2 linked regions of the Anolis sagrei genome follow. The protein of the gene in region 1 purifies or fractionates together with the protein of each later gene. This does not show direct contact. Links are inferred from orthologs where the notes say so. Each region holds a gene or a part of one and is shown on either strand. Other genes may lie near its edges.

Region 1 (7,597 bases):
CAGGGAGGAGCCACTAACATCTGGGACAGCATCTCTTCGTTGTATTTTTAAAGACAAGTCCTCCTATACTGAAAGTGTTCAAATACCAATTATGGAACTATTTGCAGTCAGAGAAGGAGAGCACGTCTCTGCACAAGATGTCATGCACTTGATTTCCTGTTATTCGCAATGGTACAATTTGAAACAGAAACATTTCACTTTAATTTGATTTCTCTGTGTGTGTGTGGGTAGGGGAGTTTTTTTTAATCCCCTTTCAATAATGAAGATAGTATTTCTAGGCCATATTTAGCCTATTTAGTCAAGTAAAAAAGTACAGTAGTCTTGCTTATCCAACATAAATCGGCCGGCAGCACGTTGGATAAGCAAAAAGGTTGGATAATAAGGAGGGATTAAGGAAAAGCCTATTCAATGTCAAATTACATTATGATTTTACAAATTAAGCACCAAAACATAATATTTTACAACAATTTGATTTAAAAAGCAGTTCAATACATGGTAACTTTATGTAGTAATTACTGTATTTATGAATTTAGCACCAAAACGTCACAATATATTGAAACAGCTGTAGATCCAGACAGGAGGCAGACTGCGTTGGATAATACAGAATGTTGGATGAGTGGAGGTTGGATAAGCAAGACTATACTGTAGTAAGATCTGTATGAATGTTCCTTACTCCTGTGAAAAGAGCCAAAATATCCTCACACATCTCAGAAAAGATATCCAATTGCCCACCTACAGATTCCATAGAGTCTTGGATGACTGTGTTCTTACAGAAAGCAATGCATAAGTGAAACAGACTGTGTGCATGATATCTTATGTTAAAATTTCTTTTTTTAGCCTCTTTTTGGATTATTTTATGCCTTTTCATGTTCATATATAACCAAAAAGTCTAATGAAGCAAAACATACTAGCATGGCTAGCTCTTTGAACACTACTACAAGGCAACAAGCACCATTAGTCTGGATGTGGGGGGTATTAATAGAGTTCTGGTTCTAGGTAAATTATAAACAGATAGAACATAACTCAATATTTCATGGCTTGGAAATCAGGTTGCATTTGTACCATATCCAAAACACCCAAAAGACCTGTTATCTTAAAGCACCACAACACCATCCTTCCTCACTCCTGGCAATATTGCTTGGGGCTGCTGGGAATTACAGTCCAATAACTATGCTTACAGTTGCCCCAGAGACTTGTTAGTGTTCTTAAATGCCACTGTTCTATGTTTGTTATTTCCATCTCCCCAAGGGAATTTTAGCAGCAAACCCTGCTAGGAGCAATGCCACTGAATTCCTGAGGAGTCAGGGCGAGGCTCTGGAGGTGTTTACTGGATCGTTTGGTTTGCCATTGTGGGGAAGACAGAGAATTCTGTCCTCATTAGGATACAGATAGAGATGTAGCCCATTCACTGAAATGGATGTGTTACTCCCAATAGCAAAACAGTTCAGGTCCATTTTGAATGGATACTACAACATTCCTCACTGGTCCTAGAAGTCCAGCAAAGTGATGCAAATCAACCACAGCCCCTCGAGGGGGAAAAGAACTCAACCACATGCATATTTTGATTTTTGACAGTAGTCAAAAGATCTATAAAGATGTATACAGATACAGAGGTCTTGAAAAACAGGTGTTCAGGGCTAGACACCTGTTCACACATACATACTTGCAACATTTGGAAGATGCTCCACAGGTATCCAAAGTCTCATAGTCATTTTCTTAAAATAACGGTAAATACAACACAATTCAAGGAACATGAAAGGCACTGCAGACTAATTCAAACAGAGAAGTCAGCCATAGTAGAGTACTTGATGAACCAACCTGGACACAGCATACATATTATTTGAGAACACAGAAATGCTGGACCACTCTCACAACTGTCATGTCAAGCTACACAGAGAAGCCACTGAAATCCACAAGCATGTGGACAATTTCAACAGATGGGTCCCAGCTCCCGCTTTCATGGCAATGGATGGGGAAGAAGGAGAGTATGGTAGATTCCTGAAGAGGTAACTCTACTTTCCTAGTTTACAACAGATCTCACATATAGCCCGAAAAAACCCACAAGAACCTAGTGATTCCAGCCATGAAAGCCTTCGACACTACAGATCTCACAACCTCTGAGGATGCCTGCCATAGAGGCAGGTGAAATGTCAGGAGAGAATGCTTCTGGAACATGGCCGTACAGCCTGGAAAACTCACAGCAATCCAGTGATTCTGGTCATGAAAGCCTTTGACAATACAAAATAAATCCTGCTACTTCCAACAGGACTTACTTCAGAAGGCAGCCTATGTCACAAGATTGCTATGCTTGCCTGTAATCTTGCACACGAGATAATTCCACACTAAACCAAGCTCTATTCTTGAGTAAGACATGCAAATTGGCATTGCCACGAGGATACCTTTCTTATTGTCCATCTGGACACTGTAGAATGGTGGTGTGTGACACTATTTTAATAGCCATGGCTCATGAATTAATGCTTGTTGTAGTTTTACAACAAGCCAAACAGTGCTAGTACCTCCAAACTACAACTCCAAGGATTTCATACCATAGAGCCCTGGCAGTTAAAAGTGCTGTCAAACTACATTCACTCTGGGTTATTGTGAGTTTTTTGGACTGTATGGCCATGCTCCAGAAGCATTCTCTCCTGATGTTTCACCTACATATATTGCAGGTATCCTCAGAGGTTGTGAGTTCTGCCTCACAACATCTGAGGATTCCTGCCATAGATGCAGGCGAAACATCAGGAGAGAATGCTTCTGGAACATGTCCATATAGCCCAGAAAACTCACAACAGCACAGTGATTCTGGCCATGAAAGCCTTTGACTATACATTTACTCTTGACTGTAGATGCTACTAGATGTACCAGACAGGACACCAGGCTACAAATCCTATGATTCCATACCACTATGTAATGACAATCTAAGTGTTTTGAAACTGAATTGTAGGGATGTAGACGCATCCCTAGATCTACCAAAAGCAAGCTGTTTTCCTGCTCGGTGGAATTTACTCGCCTGTAAGTGCACCCAAGACTGGCAAAAGCCATCCCTCCACAACCCTTCTCTGTTTCTCTCCCCAAAGGGGAGAAATAAAAGAACCCAGTCTCAATTCAACCAGTTTACTTACCTTCCTTGCCAATGAAATGTGACTCCTTTCGCCTCGGGACTCTTTCGAAGTGTGATTAAGAGCAGGGAGAAGAGAGCAGGGCGATGTTTGGCTTAGTACATCCCGGCTGAAGGATGCAGGGATGCAGGCAAGAGTGGTACCCAGGTCCAGGGGAAGTAAGGCCAGGAGGGGAAAGATGGGTCCCAGGTTCCGCTTTCAGGGCAATGGGTGGGAAAGAGGGAAGGCAGCCAGGGCTTGAAGGGAGACCAGCCAGTTCCTTCCCTTGCTTCTCTTCCTCTCTCTCCCTCTTTCCCCCTCCCCCTGCGCCTTTTTTCACCGCCTCTTGTCTCATTCGTCAGGTAGCGGAGGCAAGCCGCGCCCAGGAGCCAAGCCGGAGCCAGGACGCCGCCTTCCTCCTCTCCTCCTCTTCCTCCTCCTCCCTGGTCTCTCCATCTTTTGCTGGCTCCACCCGGTAGTAAAGAAACCCCCCTATTCTCCCCTCCCCTCCACCTCCGAAATACACCTCGAAGGCTTTCCTGAAAGGAGAAACTCTTCCTCCTCCGATGGGCAACAAGTGGGGAATTTTTCTTCCAGTTTGCGCTGCCTTCCTGCAAACTCTAGTCCTGCAGGTTTTTGAGACTTCAGCTTCCAGAAGCCTCAGCTGCTTTGGACGTCAGGAATTCTGGGAGCTGAGGCTCAACACACCCAAAACAACCAAATTTTAGGAAGCAGTAGTTTAAAGGGATAGACATGTTATATAAGAAGCATGTCTTATTACATAGTAAATACATTCTTCAGCAAAGCCTAGAGAAGACAATTATGCTGGGGAAAGTGGAAGGCAAAAGGAAGACGGGCCGACCAAGGGCAAAATGGATGGATGGCATCCTTGAAGTGACTGGACTGACCTTGAAGGAGCTGGGGGTGGTGACAGCCGACAGGGAGCTCTGGCGTGGGCTCATCTATGAGGTCACGAAGTCGGAGACGACTGAACAAATGAACAACAAACATTCTTCAGGGGTTTGGTTCCAGGGTGCATCTATATTATATAATTAATTCAGTTTGGCATCATGTTAGCTGCTATGGCACAATGTTTTGGAATCAAGGGAGTTGTCGCAATGAGCCATGGCAGTTAAAGTGGTGCATATTCTGCTGTGTAAATGTACCCAAGGAAAAGCAGGTTGGTGGGCAAGGGTGTAGTGACCTCCGCTCTTATACCTATATTTTTCACTGCTTCTGCTTCCATAGGTGTACTCTAAACTGGTAGTGGTTCTCAAGCTTTGGTCCTACAGGTTTTGGGACTTTAACTCCCAGAACAACAGCAACAAATGTTTTGGACTTCAGCTCTCAGAAGTCCTGACAGCTGGCTATGACTTCTGGGAGTTAATCATAGAATCAGAGAATCATAGAATCAAAGAGTTGGAAGAGACCTCATGGGCCATCCCGTCCAACCCCCTGCCATGAATGCAACATTCCTGCTTCTTGGCAGGGGGTTGGACTGGATGGCCCATGAGGTCTCTTCCAACTCTTTGATTCTATGATTCTATGATTTAACTCCCAGAAGTCATAGCCAGCTTAACCAGCTGTCAGGACTTCTGAGAGCTAAAGTCCAAAACATTTGTTGCTGTTGTTTATTCATTCACTCAGTCACTTCCAACTGTTCATGACCTCATGGATCAACTCATGCCAGAGCTCCCTGTTGGCTGTGGCCACCCCCAGTTACTTCCAAGCCAAGCCAAGGATACCATCCATCTATCTTGCCCTTGGTTGTCCCCTCCTCCTTTTTCCTTCCATTTCCCCAACATCATTGTCTTCTCCAAGCTCCAAAACACTTATGGGAGCAAAAGTTGGTAACAAGTGCTTTAAAGACATAGAGGTTATATAAGAAGTATTCCTTGTTGCATAGTAAATACTGTGGGCTCTGATCTTGCAGTGGTTCCCAAACTTTGGTCCTAGGGGTTTTTCAGTCTTCAACTCCCAGAAGCTTCACCTAGCTTGGTTAACTACCTGAAATTCTGGGACTCAAAGTCCAAAGCACCCGGAGAACCAAAAGTTGAGAACCAGTGCTCTCAAGTGATAGGTAGGTTATATAAGAAGCATTGCTTATTTGCATAGCAAATAAAATCGGCTTTTAGTATGAACCATCAAGGAGGTTAAGATCAACTGGGGAGGCTCTGCTCTTGGTCCCGCCTCTGTCACATGTGCAGTTGATGGGGACAACAAACAGGGCCTTCTCAGTTGTGGCTCCTTGGCTCTGGAACTGCCTCCCTAGAAAGATTAGATCAGCGCCCTCCCTCCTGACCTTTAAAAAGAGAACAAAGACATGGTTGTGGGATCAAGCCTTTGGCTAATAAATAATGCAGTAGGAAGAATAATTAAGGAACATGTGCAATGACAGTTCAGAATGGCTATGATATATGATTTCTGGATCATGGGATTTTAATCTTTATACTAGGATGATTTTATGCTTTGTCTGAATGTTTAAATGTTATTTATGTCTTATCTTTAATGGTTTTAACTGGTTTTAAGTTAATAGTTATATGTAGTAATTAATTATTATGATTTCTTTGTGTACTGTATGTTGGCATTGAATTTTTGCCATTAGTATGTTGTAAACCACCTTGAGTCCCTCAGGGGTGAGAAAGGTGGTATATAAATACAGTAAATAAATAATAGTATCTTCTGGTATTTGGTTCCAGGTCTCTCCAAAATCTGTGGATTCTCAAATCACATGATATACATGGTGTAGGGAAAGGGTGCCCCTTATATAGAAGGGTAATATTATGATTGGTTTATGGAATGTGAAGAGAATATTTCCAAATTGTAGATGATGGAATTTGTCAATGCAGACTTTGTGGATACCGAGGATCAGTTGCATATCAAATAATGGAGCTGGGATGGGGAACATTTGGCTGTCTCTTGAGATGTTTTGGATCACTATCTCCAATCCTCCCTCACTGGACATCCTAGCTGGATTTTCTGGGAGCTGGAGTTTCAAACATCTCGTTGGTCCTCTATGTCCATGACTTCTGCATCCCAAATGCATCCAAAATCCAAAGAATCAAAATTGTTCAGAATGTGCAGAAAAATATTATTTTCTCTACAGAAAATGTTTCCTGTGCAGTGTTAGAGGAGTTTAACAACCTCATCACACTCACCAAATTCAGTGTCCTAGGAAGCTTCCAGTCTGTTTTGGGGATGGAAATGCCAGCCATCACACAACATTGTGTGACTTCTGGTGGAGGCCCTGCCCCCAATCGGGGTGGAGGCATCTGTGGATGCTTCCCACACAACACAGGAGGCTTCCTATATTGTGCTGGCCCCAATGGAGCCAGCACAAATCCTCCCCAGAAGGGCGACACTTCCCACATGTGATAGAGAAAGCATCATCAAGAAGAGCTGCTCGTGAGGCAACAGATTCACTCTGCTGCCAGGGATGTCTCAACCCATTACGCAAAGTAAGCATTTGCAGTATAGTTGATTTTGCCCAGGGGCGCACTTGAGGCACTCTTGGGGGAAAATAGACCTTGACATATGCGAGTTGTAGTTACTGGGATGTATAGTTCACCTACAATCAAAGAGCATTCTGGACTCCACCAATGATGGAATTGAACCAAATATGGTACACAGAACTCCCACGATGAACAGAAAATATCTATCAGTGATTGGTTGGGGGGGGGAGGGGGCGCCAAAATACTGTTGAAAATTACCTAGGGCCGCCTCTGTCCGCTGCCCCCCCCCCTCTTTCCTCCACAAAACCAGACGAAGCCAGGTGATAAGGTCATAAACTCTTTTCCTTTACTATGGTCCAGCTCCACTTACTTTCCTCACCATAGCCTAGTCTGGCTAATACCTATAGTAGCTTTGGAAGAAAACCTGCAAAGACCCCAATGGATACTTGCCTCCTTTTATAAAACTACTCATATAGGAGTCATCTAGACTGCAACCATAGTAGAGGAGAGAGTTAACATCTTCAATTCTCTTGTTATTTACGCATTTTTTAAAAATCCACTCAGACATAAGAAAAACACCATGCCAATTTGCTGTTATAAAGGTCAGTTCACTGTTACATCAGCTTAAATCCACAATAAACAAAGGGTGTACAGAATTTTCTCATTTTCATCCTTGAAATAAAGATTTATTTTTGTTGTTTTTTTAAAGTTTCATCTAAAGATTGAGTTGCCTGGCTCTTTTATACCTTGAGTAGAGTCTAGTTCTTGATGAACTCAATAAACTTATATTATGACTTCTTCTTTACAATAGAGCAGTGGTTCTCAACCTGGGGTCCCCAGATGTTTTCGGCCTCCAACTTCCAGAAATCCTAACAGCTGGTCAACTGGCTGGGATTTCTGGGAGTTGTAGGCCAAAAACATATGGGGACCCCAGGTTGAGAACCACTGCAATAGAGTATGATCCCCATATTATAGAAGTTAAGCTCCTGGGCGTTTTGTAGATACATGAAACTGTGAACCCTATTGAAATTAAGTAGTTCTGGC
Region 2 (8,408 bases), on another chromosome or scaffold:
CGTCCTTCATGCAAAGCAAAGGGTTTCAGCCACATGGAGAGCCTGATTTGGAAGGGAAAAACATTGGATCCATGCAAAAGAGATCAGCCCATTTAGAGGATGCAAAATAGGATACAGTATATGAAAAATAGATACAAATGTTACATTAAAAGCAAAGGGAAGATACAATGTGGGAAATATGCTTTGGAAGAAGCCAAGCACCACCGCTGCCTGAAGTTCTATATTTGGATATATATATATATATATATATATATATATATATATATATATATCCTATGCAAAATAAATCAGAAAGTTAAAGAAAAAAAAATAAGTCAAGGTACAATATAGGATCAATGCAAAAATAAATTCCAAATAGAGGATCAATGCAAAACTAAATTCACAATAGAGGATCATTGCAAAACTAAATTCAAAATAGGGGATCAATGCAAAACTAAATTCAAAACATAGGATCAATACACAAATACATTCAAAATAGAGGATCAATGCACAAATAAATTCAAAATACAGGATCAACGCACAAATAAATTCAAAATACAGGATCAATGCAAAAATAAATTCAAAACAGAGGATCAATGCACAAATACATTCAAAATAGAGGATCAAGGCACAAATAAATTCAAAATATATGATCAAGGCACAAATAAATTCAAAATAGAGGATCAAGGCACAAATAAATTCAAAATAGAGGATCAATGCACAAATAAATTCAAAATACAGGATTAATGCACAAATAAATCCAAATATTAGATTTTAAAAAGAAGACAGGGTAAATAAAAGGCAGGAGATATGCAATGTGTAAAATAGGATACGGTAACTGCAAAATTTAGCATTAAATGGCCTTGCAGCTTCAAAGACTGGCTGGTTGCTTCTGGGGGGTTCTTTTTTGGGAGGTGTTAGGCGCCTTCGGTGGCACAGTGGGTTAAACCGCTGAGCTGCTGAACTTGCTGACCAAAAGGTCGGCAGTTCAAATCCAGGGAGCAGGATGAGCTCCTGCTGTTAGCTCCAGCTCCTGCCAACCTAGCAGTTTGAAAACATGCAAATGTGAGATCAATAGGTACCACTCCGGCGGGAAGGTAACAGTGCTCCATGCAGTCATGCTGGCCACATGACCTTGGAGGTGTCTTTGACTTAGAGATGGAGATGAGCACCAGAGTCCCCGAGTTGGACACAACTGGACTTAATGTCAAGGGGAAACCTTTACTTTTAACTAATTGGAATCATTAAATAAAAACTTAAGGGAGGATGCAATGTAGGAGAGATGCAATATGCAAAATAGGATCCATGCAAATTAAATATTGCATTGTTTTGAGCACTGTTTACTGCTTTAAGAGAGGAAAGCAGTATATAAATAAGTGTCTATATAAATAAAAAGGTATTGTTAGTTTGTGGGATTAACATAACTCAAAAACCACTGGACAAATTGACACCAAATTTGGACACGATATGCCTATCAAACCAACGAATGACTGTCACTCATAAAAACACTGAAAAACACAGCAGAAGAGACTTAAAAAGCCAAAAAACTAAAAATTAAATTACAACACATGGGCAAAACCATATATATATGCAAAAACACATATACACAAACACACAAAACACATATACACAGAGTGGGCCACAGCAAAGCGTAGCAGGGGACGGCTAGTCTATATAAATAAAAATGTAATGTTCATTTGTGAGATTAACAAAACTCAAAAACCACTGGATGAATTGACACCAAATTTGGACACAAGGCACCTAACAACCCAATGTATGTCCTTCACTCAAAAAAATTGATTTCGTCATTTGGGAATTGTAGTTACTGGGATTTATAGTTCACCTACAATCAAAGAGCACTCTGAACCCCACCAACGATGGAATTGAACCAAACTTGGCACACAGTTCTCCCATGACCAACAGAAAATACTGGAAGGGTTTGGTGGGCAACGTCCTTTGGTTTTGGAGCTGTAGTTCACCTACATCCAGCGATCACTGAGGACTCAAACAATGATGAATCTGGACCAAACTCTACACAAATACTCAATATGCCCAAATGTGAACACTGGTAGAGTTTGGGGAAAATAGAATCTTGTCATTCAGGAGTTGTAGTTGCTGGGATTTATAGTTCACCTACAATCAAAGAGCATTCTGAATCCCACCAACTATAGAATTGGGCCAAACCTTCCACACAGAACCCCCATGAGATCCACAACAACGTGTGGCAGGGGGCGGCTAGTAATAAATATAGTATTAAAATACAGTATAATAAATCAGAATATTACATTACAAAATAGGATCTATGTAAATTGGATACTGCATTGTTTTTAGCATAGTTCACAGCCTGAAGAGAAGAAAGTGGTATGTAAACAAATATAATATTATAATATAATAAATGCAATAACAATACAATATAAATTCATATAATGATAATATATCAAAATATAAAAATCGAAATATTGCAATAGTTAGGGGACCATGTAAGGTGCATGTAATGTCCAAAATAGGATAGGCACAAAATAAATCAGAGTTTGGGAATTGGAAGAAACTATAACTCCCATCAGCCTGCAAGCAGCATACTGGGAGTTGTGGTCCCTTTAAAAAGGATGCTCTATAGTAGGGAATAGGCACAGAACTTGAGCCAAAAAATGGGGTTCAAACTAATAATCATAATATGTAGTATTTGCAAAATAAACCACAGCTTTGGGAATTGGAAGAAACTATAACTCCCATCATCCTGCCAGCAGCATCCTGGGAGTTGTGGTCCCTTTAAAAAAGATGCTCTATAGTAGGGAATAGGCACAGAACTTGAGCCAAAAGGGGAAACTGGGTTCAAACTAATAATCATAATATGTAATATTTGCAAAATAAATCAGATCTTGGGAACTCCCATAAGTCCCATCATCCTCCAACCAGCATGCTGGGAGTTGTGGTCCCTTTAAAAAGGATGCTCTGTAAGAGGAAATAAGTACAGAACTCTAGCCAAAAAGTAAAACGGGGTTCAAACTAATAATCATAATATGTAATATCTGCAAACACGCATGATGACACGTGTTCCCCATGTCACGTTCACACGAGACGCCCTCTGCGCGTCAATTTGCGGGTTTATTTTCTTTTTCCTTCCCTCCTCAACCACAGGAGCAGGAAAGAACGCAAACACGCATCTTGCACGCTTTTTGCACGCATGCATGTGTGAATGGGCCAAAAGGGGGCTGACTTGCGTGTTTTGCAGACTCATACCCCATTCTTATGGACCGGGGGATAAACTAACATGGTGTTTGCTTATATTTTTGATGGGGACTTTGCAAGCCTTGCAAAAGTAATCCCTTCCCTCTTGCATTGCAGTGCATTGCATCTCCCCTTCCTCAGGCAATCCCTCCCACTCTCTCCTTCTTACCTGTCCTTGGCTCTTCTTCCCTCCTCGGACTGTCCGAATGGCGCAGCAGCACTCCGGCCCTTTTATCCTACAGCCCCTCCCTCCTTTTTCTCCCCCCCCCCCCCACCGCTGTGACGTCACCTTCCCCATCCAGGTCCCCAGTTCTCAATCCATCCGCAAAAAGGCGCACTACCCAGAGTGGTCGCTAGAGGGAGCGCTCGCCAATGGGAAAACAGCATAGCCTTATGACTCTTTGTTGTTGTTCATTCGTTCAGTCGTCTCCGACTCTTCGTGACCTCATGGACCAGCCTACGCCAGAGCTCCCTGTCGGCCGTTACCACCCCCAGCTCCCTCAAGGTCAGTCCAGTCACTTCAAGGATGCCATCCATCCATCTTGCCCTTGGTTGGCCCCTCTTCCTTTTGCCTTCCACTTTCCCCAGCATAATTGTCTTCTCTAGGCTTTGCTGTCTCCTCATGATGTGGCCAAAGTACTTCAACTTTGTCTCTAGTATCCTTCCTTCCAGTGAGCAGTCGGGCTTTATTTCCTGGAGGATGGACTGGTTGGATCTTCTCGCAGTCCAAGGCACTCTCAGCACTTTCCTCCAACACCACAGCTCAAAAGCATCTCTCTTCCTTCGCTCAGCCTTCCCGAAGGTCCAGCTCTCACATGCGTAGATGTGACTACAGCGAATACCATGGCTTGGACTAGGCAATGGATCTTGGTTGCCAGTCTGATGTCTCTACTCTTTACTATTTTATCGAGACTGGACATTGCTCTCCTCCCAAGAAGGAAGCGTCTTCTGATTTCCTGGCCACAGTCTGCATCTGCAGTCATCTTTGCACCTAGAAATACAAAGTCTGTCACAGCCTCCACGGTTTCTCCCTCTATTTTCCAGTTGTCAATCATTCTTGTTGCCATCATCTTGGTTTTTTTGATGTTTAGCTGCAACCCGGCTTTTGCGCTTTCTTCTTCCACCTTGATTAGAAGGCTCCTCAGCTCCTCCTCGCTTTCGGCCATCAGAGTGGTGTCATCTGCATATCTGAGGTTGTTAATGTTTCTTCCAGCAATTTTCACCCCAGCCTTGCATTCATCAAGCCCCGCACATCCTCGCATGATGTGTTCTGCATACCAGTTACAGAGGTTGGGTGAGAGTATGCAGCCTTGCCGGACGCCTTTCCCAATCTTGAACCCGTCTCCTGTTCCGTGGTCAGTTCTGACTGTTGCTCCTTGGTCCTTGTACAGATTCCTCAGGAGAGAGACAAGGGGGCTTGGTATGCCCATCCCACCAAGAACTTGCCACAATTTATTATGATCCACACAGTCAAAGGCTTTGGAATAGTCAATGAAGCAGAAGTAGATGTTTTTCTGAAACTCCCTGCCTTTCTCCATTCTCCAGCATCCGGATATTGGCAATCTGGTCTCTCATTCCTCTGCCTTTTCTAATCCCAGCTTGAACATCTGGCAACTCTCGCTCCATGTATTGCTGGAGTCTTCCTTGCAGGATCTTGAGCATTACCTTACTGGCATGAGAAATAAGGGCCACTGTACGGAAGTTTGAGCAGTCTTTCGCATTTCCCTTTTTTGGTATGGGGATATAAGTTGATTTTTTCCAGTCTGATGGCCATTCTTGTGTTTTCCATATTTGCTGGCAAATGGCATGCATCACCTTGACAGCATCATCTTTTAAGATTTTAAACAGTTCAGCTGGGATCCCGTCGTCTCCTGCTGCCTTGTTGTTAGCAATGCTTCTTAAGGCCCATTCAACCTCACTCCTCAGGATGTCTGGTTCTTATGACTCTAGGTCAGCGTTTCTCAACCTGGGAGTGGGGACCCCTGGAAGGGGGGGGGGTACGAGGGGGTGTCAGAGGGGTCGGCAAAGACCACCAGAAAACACAGAATTTCGTATTGGTCCTGGGGGTTCTGTGTGGGAAGTTTAGCCCAATTCTACCGTTGGTGGGGTTCAGGATGCTCTTTGATTGTAGGTGAACTATCAATCCCAGCAAATACAACTCCCAAATGTGAAGCTCTATTTTCCCCAAACTCTACCAGTGTTCACATTTGGGCATATTAAGTATCCGTGCCAAGTTTGGTCCAGATCCATCATTGTTTGAGTCCACAGTGCTCTCTGGATGTAGGTGAACTACAACTCCAAAACTCAAGGTCAGTGCCCACCAAACCCTTTCAGTATTTTCTGTTGGTCATGGGAGTTCTGTGTGCCAAGTTTGGGCCAATTCTACCATTGATGGGGTTCTGAATGATCTTTGATTGTAGGTGATCAATCCCAGCAAATACAACTCCCAAATGTCCAGCTCTATTTTCCCCAAACTCCACCAGTGTTCATATTTGGGCATATTAAGTATCCATGCCAAGTTTGGTCCAGATCCATCATTGTTTGAGTCCACAGTGCTCTCTGGATGTAGGTGAACTACAACTCCCAAAACTCAAGGTCAGTGTCCACCAAACCCTTCCAGTATTTTCTGTTGGTCATGGGAGTTCTGTGTGAAAGGGTCCACAGAGCTCTAAGTATCTCATCGAACTACAACTCCCGACACTCCTCAATATGGAGCTGTGGCTGTGGCTCCATACTGAGGAGTGTCGGGAGTTGTAGTTCGATGAGATACTTAGAGCTCTGTGGACCCTTTCATGCTATACAAGGGGTCTTATTTCCCTGCCAAATAGTAGTAGCGCCTTGCTAAACTAGAAATCCCAGGCCCCTTGTATAGCATGAATGGGCCTACAGAGCTCTAAGCATCTCATCAAACTACAACTCCCAACATTCCTCAGTATGGAGACACAGGCCCAAAAGGTAGATCGTACAATGGAATGCATGCAGTTTGGCACCACCTTAGCTTATCCTGGGAGTTGTAATTCCACAAGGTCTTCGGCTTCTCTGCCAAATAGTAGTGGTGCCTCACTACACTAGAAATCCCGAAGACCTTGTGGAACTACAACTCCCAGGATCAGCTGAAGTGGTGTCAAACTGCATGCATTCCATTGTACGACCTATCTTTTGGGCCTTGTGTTTACTTTTCTGCACCTCTGTCCCTTGATTCACCTTTTCCTCCTTTTCAGAGTAAACAAACCCAAAACGTTTGAACTTCCCTTCCAATCTCTTAATCCGCTTAGATGTTGCAAACCTCATGAAGGATGTTCTCACAGGTGTGGTTTTTGAATGTGCAATGAACATGACCTTGATCAAGGCTGCATGTAACAAAGGTTACCTTTATACCAGGCATGGGCAAACTTTGGCCCTCCAGGTGTTTTGGACTTCAACTCCCACAATTCCTGGCCTCAGGCCCTTCCCAGCTTCAGGAAAGGGCCTGAAGCCGATGTTGAACATGAATTTAGGAGACTCTGCCGAAGCAGAGGTCAGCAGGTTCCCCAGAGTTGTCAGGCTTCTGGACACACATGAGATGCAGGGGTCCATAATGAAAAAGTGAGATAACAGTTAGTCACAAAATTAGTCTAGGAGAAAATGGCATCGGTTTGGAGTCGGTCCGTTGACCGCGGATACGGGGCCCCAAAGGGTTTCCATATCCACGGTTCAGAGGAACGCAGTTTCAGCCTCCCCGGGATGCTGTACGAGCATCCTGGGTGAGCCAACAGTGGAGTCGATCTGTTGACCTGCGGATACGGAGGCCCAAAGGGTTTCCGTATCCATGGTTCAGAGGAACACAGTTTCAGCCTCCCCAAGATGCTGTAAGAGCATCCTGGGTGAGCCAACAGTGGAGTCGATCTGTTGTCCCGCGGATACGGGGGCCCAAAGGGTTTCCGTATCAACGGTTCAGAGGAACGCAGTTTCAGCCTTCCCGGGATGCTATAAGAGCATCCTGGGTGAGCCAACAGTGGAGTTGATCTGTTGACCCACGGATACGGGGGCCCAAAGGGTTTCCGTATCAACGGTTCAGAGGAACGCAGTTTCAGCCTTCCCGGGATGCTATAAGAGCATCTTGGGTGAGCCAACAGTGGAGTCGATCTGTTGACCCGTGGATACGGGGCCCCAAAGGGTTTCCGTATCCATGGTTCAGAGGAACGCAGTTTCAGCCTCCCCAGGATTCTGTAAGAGCTTCCCGGCTGAGCTAACAATGATCTGCGGCTCGGAAAGGGAAAGGTTCATGTTAGAGAGTGTTAGAGGCAGTAAAGAGACACAATGTATCACTACGAGGAGAAAAAGTTGCAGTTGAAGGATACTTTTATTGGGGATTATTACACTGTTGTTACAAAGGAAAGCAGACGGTGATTTTTAGTTGAAACTACTGCTGTGGCCACAGTCCCATCATTGTTGGCCCAATCAGATGTCCTGGAACTGCGGAACTCCCTGCTGCGGTTCAGATCAACTTGATTGAGGGAGCTTGGGGGCTCGACCTCAAAGCTAGGAATTGTGGGAGTTGAAGTCCAAAACACCTGGAGGGCCAAAGTTTGCTCTTGCCTGCTCTACAGCATAGAACGAATGAAATTCAAGACCTCTTTCAATGCTTTGACCCAATGCTATGGAATTATGGAAGTTGTAGTTTTGGCGAGTCACCAAAGGCAGAGAAAGCTCAGGAATACATCCAACTACAACTCCCAAGCATTCCATAGTATTCAGCCAGGGTGGTCAAAGTGATGTCCAACTGCATTCATTCCACAGTGTAGATAGACAGGCTGACCTTTCTCCACAACTGCTTCCTCAAGTGTTGCAAAGTGTCTTGAGGTGTCGCATCAGCTCTTTTGTTGACTCATCCTTTTCCATTGCGACACAAACCGCAGATGACTCGGTTTCTGTTTTTGACTTTCCTTCATCTTGCTGCTTATTTATTGCAACATCTTGTCTAAGTCTGCCTTTTCCACTCCAGGATAAACACAGAGCTAGAAGGGTCCCCCAAAGGCCATCCAGACTGACCCCTTTCTGCCAGGCAGGAAGATATACCACCCAAGCCCTCCAGACAGATGGCCACCCAGACTCTGATCCTTTCTAAACTGCTATCAAACCCAGATGATCAAATCAGATAATCCGCATTATCTGCTTTGACCTGGATTATATGAGTCTACACTGCTATATAATCCAGTTGA

What was found.
Region 2: the proteins of SNCA (region 1) and CLU purify together in Homo sapiens (affinity purification with western blotting; 3 studies listed by BioGRID and IntAct, with this or other methods). This does not show direct contact. The link is inferred for Anolis sagrei from reciprocal best matches to the Homo sapiens genes SNCA and CLU.

Annotation. Positions count from the first base shown.
Region 1 is NC_090025.1:20,884,287-20,891,883, forward strand, and holds the start of SNCA (alpha-synuclein), read right to left. Parts: upstream 3,515-7,597; 5' UTR 3,126-3,514; intron 1-3,125. UniProt on the Homo sapiens protein: Neuronal protein that plays several roles in synaptic activity such as regulation of synaptic vesicle trafficking and subsequent neurotransmitter release.
Region 2 is NC_090021.1:3,069,859-3,078,266, reverse strand, and holds the start of CLU (clusterin), read right to left. Parts: upstream 3,458-8,408; 5' UTR 3,377-3,457; intron 1-3,376.